Solanum lycopersicum: one gene and its partner. The protein of the gene in region 1 interacts with the protein of each later gene in a pairwise test. Links are inferred from orthologs where the notes say so. Each region holds a gene or a part of one and is shown in the gene's direction. Other genes may lie near its edges.

Region 1 (2,640 bases):
ATCAGTTAACAGGTTTATCAATAAAAATGATCAATCTCTAACTCATTAAGACACTTCCTGTTTCTGTATACTCCTCCGTCCCAATTTACGTGACATTCTCTCCTTTTTGGTCAGACGAAGAAAAAGGATAACTACTCTCCATATTTAGTTACAATTTGACTTTATACTTCTCATTCTACCCTTTGTGAGACGATATATATGCACACAAACATCTATGACTTATTTTAGACTACAAGTTTTAGAAGTCTTCATTTCATTTCTTCAACTCCATTCCTAGTCAAACACGTTCACATAAAATGGACGGAGATTCATTAAGACACTTCCATTTTAGATTATATGTTCTTTTTTTGCTGAATTATTTGTATCTCCCAACAGAAAATGTTCATGAAGGGATTCTCAGGAGACTTAGAAGCTGCTCATGCCAAAGCCACTCAACTTGCTGGAGAAGCTGTAGCTAATGTAAGAACAGTTGCTGCCTTTAATTCGGAGACGAAAATAGTCAACCTTTTCGACGCAAGCCTCCAGACTCCGCTTAGGCGTTGCTTCTGGAAGGGACAGATAGCGGGAAGTGGTTATGGGATTGCTCAATTCTTGCTTTATGCTTCCTATGCCCTTGGCCTTTGGTATGCCTCCTGGCTTGTCAAGCACGGGATCTCTGACTTCTCGAAGACGATCCGTGTCTTCATGGTGCTCATGGTTTCTGCTAATGGTGCAGCCGAAACATTGACCTTAGCCCCCGACTTCATCAAGGGTGGCAGAGCAATGCGTTCTGTTTTCGAACTCCTTGACCGTAAAACAGAAGTTGAGCCGGATGATCCAGATGCTACCGCTGCCCCTGATCGTCTTCGTGGTGAAGTGGAATTTAAGCATGTAGACTTCTCATATCCCACTAGACCCGACGTGTCAATTTTCCGTGATTTGAATCTTCGTGCTCGAGCTGGAAAGACTCTTGCTCTTGTTGGACCAAGTGGATGTGGAAAGAGCTCAGTCATTGCACTTATAGAGAGGTTCTACGAGCCATCATCCGGACGTGTCATCATCGATGGCAAGGATATTCGTAAGTACAACCTTAAATCCTTGAGAAGACACATTGCTGTAGTGCCACAAGAACCTTGCCTCTTTGCTACCACCATCTATGAAAACATCGCGTATGGACACGAGTCAGCAACCGAAGCTGAGATAACCGAAGCAGCAACCTTGGCAAACGCCCACAAGTTCATATCTGCATTGCCTGATGGATACAAAACATTCGTCGGAGAAAGGGGAGTTCAATTGTCCGGTGGACAAAAGCAAAGAATCGCCATTGCTCGTGCTTTCCTAAGGAAAGCTGAGCTAATGCTGCTAGACGAAGCAACAAGTGCACTCGATGCAGAGTCCGAAAGATGTGTACAAGAAGCATTGGATCGCGCTTGTGCAGGTAAGACCACTATTATTGTTGCACATAGGCTATCTACAATCAGAAATGCACATGTGATCGCGGTCATAGACGATGGGAAAGTAGCAGAACAAGGTTCTCATTCTCATCTGCTGAAAAACTACTCAGATGGTATTTATGCGCGTATGATACAACTACAACGATTTACACATGGAGAAGCTGTGAATATGGCAACAGGATCAACGTCTTCTTCGCGTCCTAAGGAAGATCTAGATTGAGAAAAAAAACGCGAATTGAAGCTCAAAATGAAAATACCACTAGAAAAAAAAAGAAAGAGGAGTATACCTTGTGTAACACCCTTATTATTTTTTGGACTGCTAATTTCTTGTTCACTGTTGCTAGTATAGTATAGTATAATATGTGCATTAATCCAAAATTTATATTTATCCTTCAATCTTTCACTCTTTTTCTCTGAGAACACACCAAATCAACTCAACTTAGTTGTGGCAGTACAATGTTTGTATTACGGTAGACTGTTTACATCATAGCCCCTTACTTGAATCATGATAACGCAGAATGCTTTATGCACCGTATTTTGCTTTTCTTTAGTTGTACAATGTAGGAAGGAAGAAAAAGGGTGAGTGGGACAATTCACTATCTTTATGGGGATTTTTAGTACCTAGTGTTCATTAGCTACTCGATAAAGTGGTTGAGAGTTGTGAGGTTTCAGGTTTAAATTTCATTAGAGGAAAAAAAAACACTATGTGGTGATTCGTCTCATCTGTCCTAGCATAGGTGAATAGAGTTACTTGGTATTTGTTACTGGTGAGAGGTAACGTGTATCTTGTGAAACTGATCGAGGTGCGTGAAAACTGACCCAGATACTATCCTCATAAAAAAAGGTCAAAAGATGACATTTAATCATAGTTTCGAGCCATATACCAACCGAACTAAGTTCAGTATTTAAGTAGAGAAGGATTGCAAACTCATAATCTTCGAGTTTAAAAGGCTTTGACATAAGCATATACCGGTTCAACCAAAGAGTTATCATTAGACGAACAACTGATATTGATCCAAAAGGAAAGACGGTAGGTATAGTTAGGTCGTGATCGAAACCATCCGATATATTCATCCACAGTCATTATGCTCTCCTAAAGTGATCTCCCAAATTCATCGAGTTTTTCCAAAGAATCAAATTGACCAATTATTAATGATATGTCGAAAATTTGTAAAATACTTATTTACTTGAGGCTTTCAAACACTTG
Region 2 (2,614 bases), on another chromosome or scaffold:
ATTCCAAATTCTAGCTATATAGTTTCTCATATAATTTTAATTTGGAGTATTCCCCATAGTATAGAGAATAAGTGCATTCCTCAATTTGTCTATTCCTAAATCTCATCTTTCTCCACTGAACTTTATTAATCTTTCTCTACTGAATTGCTAATTTACCATTTACAACAACTGGAAGGAAAAAGGATAAGGGCATACCATTAGTTGCAGTTCAATTTTCAGCATCTTTTTGTCTTACACATCAACTTTTTATGATAAGTTTCAGCATTTCTATCCAACTAATCCAAGCACCGAACTGCTAATTTATAAAATCAGTTTTAGCGCTTAATAATTGTTAGCTATTTACAATTAGGTAATACAATATAAGATGTATTGCTTTGTTGTTTTCTTGCAGAGAGAAAGGAAATGACTGGCCTAGCTATTGGCGTTAACAGCATGAAATCCGGTGAGCGTGCTTTATTTCATGTTGGCTGGGAACTAGCTTATGGAAAAGAAGGAAACTTCTCTTTCCCTAATGTCCCACCTACAGCTGATGTATTGTATGAGGTTGAGTTGATTGGCTTCGATGAGACAGGAGAAGTGAGTTATTTGTTTCTTAATTAATTTCTGGTTTGTACTTACTAAAGGGCTGGTACTCATAATTTTCTAAGCAATATATTTAGGGAAAAGCACGAGGTGACATGACAGTAGAGGAGAGAATTGGGACAGCAGATAGAAGAAAGATGGATGGAAATGCTTTATTTAAGGAAGAGAAACTGGAGGAAGCTATGCAACAGTATGAAATGGTCTCACCACTGCTTATAGTTGATTAGTTCATATTTTCTAGTACCCATATAAGTTTCATGTATCCTCATCGTCATGTATTCTATTTGCGTTCCTTAGGCCATTGCATATATGGGAGATGACTTCATGTTTCAGCTGTTCGGTAAGTTCCGGGACATGGCTTTAGCTGTAAAGAATCCCTGCCATCTGAACATGGCAGCCTGCCTGCTGAAGCTCCAGCGATATGATGAAGCCATTGCACAATGTAGCATTGTAAGCACACACTTCTTCAAAGTTTAGATACGTATTGCTGCCTCCCATTTTTGTAGATAATTCTTGTCCTTGCTTTTTTCTTTTTCTGTGGCTTACTATCTTTCCGTTACCTCATGGATTCTCGGGAAAAAGTTATCTGCAATGGCCTTACTTTCCCTAGTAGAGGAGAGGTCTATAAGTTTATAATTCTTGCTAAAGACCTTACCCTGTTAGTTTGCTATGACCTAATTACTTGTTCTGGGCCTTCTGGCATTATTTTTACCGTTGAGAATACAGTTGTCCAGTTTTTCCAGGACTAAGTGCACCCATGCTAGCACTTAGGTGACTGAATTATGAAATTTATTTGCTTTATCTTCTTTCAGTGTTCTTAAACTCATTATTCAGAGAAAAAAATTACTAGGGTTGAAGTTAGTAATGTTGAGCTTGATTCACTGATGATGATTAGGTCCTAGCAGAAGAAGAAAACAATGTAAAAGCGTTGTTTAGGCGTGGAAAGGCTAGGTCTATACTTGGTCAGACTGATGCAGCTCGTGAGGACTTCCTTAAAGCACGTAAGCTTGCTCCACAAGATAAAGCCATTACAAGGGAATTGAATTTGATTGCAGAACACGAGAAGGCTGTCTATAAGAAACAAAAGGAACTTTACAAAGGACTATTTGGACCAAGACCAGAGCCTAAACCAAAGTCAAGAAACTGGCTGATTGTCATTTGGCAATGGTTATTGTCACTCTTTTATACGCTTTTCAGGCGTAAGACGCGCAAGGACGACTAACTGAATTGGGAGAGATGTTATTGTGGATCCAAAACTAAGAAACTACTTCCCACCATTTTACTCCAGTTAACAGAACTCTGGTGCTCTAGAAGCTTTTTCATTGACCTTTGTGTTGGGAAAAAAAAATCTAACCAAAGAAATTTAGTGTTTTAATTATGCAACTTTATTAGTGAGATAACACCTTGCTAATTAGTTCCTCATTCTGACTTCAAATGTTTGCTCATGATACATGTATTTTGGATATTGCAATTTCTCTTGTTTTAGAAGTAACCTTTTTCCCCTACTAGCTACAGCTTACACAATGAAGGCAAAGAGTGTGTATGCATAGTATTGAATGGGAGCTTGGAGTAATGATAAAGTCGTATCCCTCCGAGCTATAGGTCAGGGTTCGAGATGTAGAGCACCACCACTAGTAAGCTATCTACATCACACCTCTCGAATATATATATATATATATAGTGTGTGTGTGTGTGAGAGAGAGAGAGAGAGAATTAGCCACAACAGGTATCTATAGTAACTCTTTAGATTAGGCGTTAGAAAGATAAAGATTTATTGAGTGAAATAATTCCAAATGAAGATGAATATTTCAATATTTCACATGACGTTCAAATATACTGAAGTTCCTCGAACTTGTTTTGAAAAATGTTTTTTTTTTTTGAGTCTATTATTATTGATAATCGTAAACAAACAAAATTAGTTCTTTTATTGCTAATGAACAGAAAGAAACCAATTTTACTCGAAAGTCTACCTTGAACGCAGAGCTGGAAATCTGGGGTTGAATGGTTTAATAAAATAAGAAAATGCAAGAAT

Evidence for each region.
Region 2: the proteins of ABCB14 (region 1) and FKBP42 interact in a two-hybrid assay, tested with the Arabidopsis thaliana proteins (2 studies listed by BioGRID, with this or other methods). The link is inferred for Solanum lycopersicum from reciprocal best matches to the Arabidopsis thaliana genes ABCB1 and TWD1.

The regions. Positions count from the first base shown.
Region 1 is NC_090808.1:2,180,077-2,182,716, reverse strand, and holds the end of ABCB14 (ABC transporter B family member 1), read left to right. Parts: intron 1-375; coding exon 376-1,653; 3' UTR 1,654-1,829; downstream 1,830-2,640. UniProt on the Arabidopsis thaliana protein: Brassinosteroid exporter that, in conjunction with ABCB19, supports the accumulation of exogenous brassinosteroids (BR) in the apoplast, thus promoting BR signaling initiation involving the specific receptor BRI1 and required for plant growth and stress responses.
Region 2 is NC_090800.1:78,210,074-78,212,687, forward strand, and holds the end of FKBP42 (peptidyl-prolyl cis-trans isomerase FKBP42), read left to right. Parts: intron 1-391; coding exon 392-576; intron 577-659; coding exon 660-782; intron 783-879; coding exon 880-1,032; intron 1,033-1,477; coding exon 1,478-1,804; 3' UTR 1,805-2,086; downstream 2,087-2,614. UniProt on the Arabidopsis thaliana protein: PPIases accelerate the folding of proteins. It catalyzes the cis-trans isomerization of proline imidic peptide bonds in oligopeptides.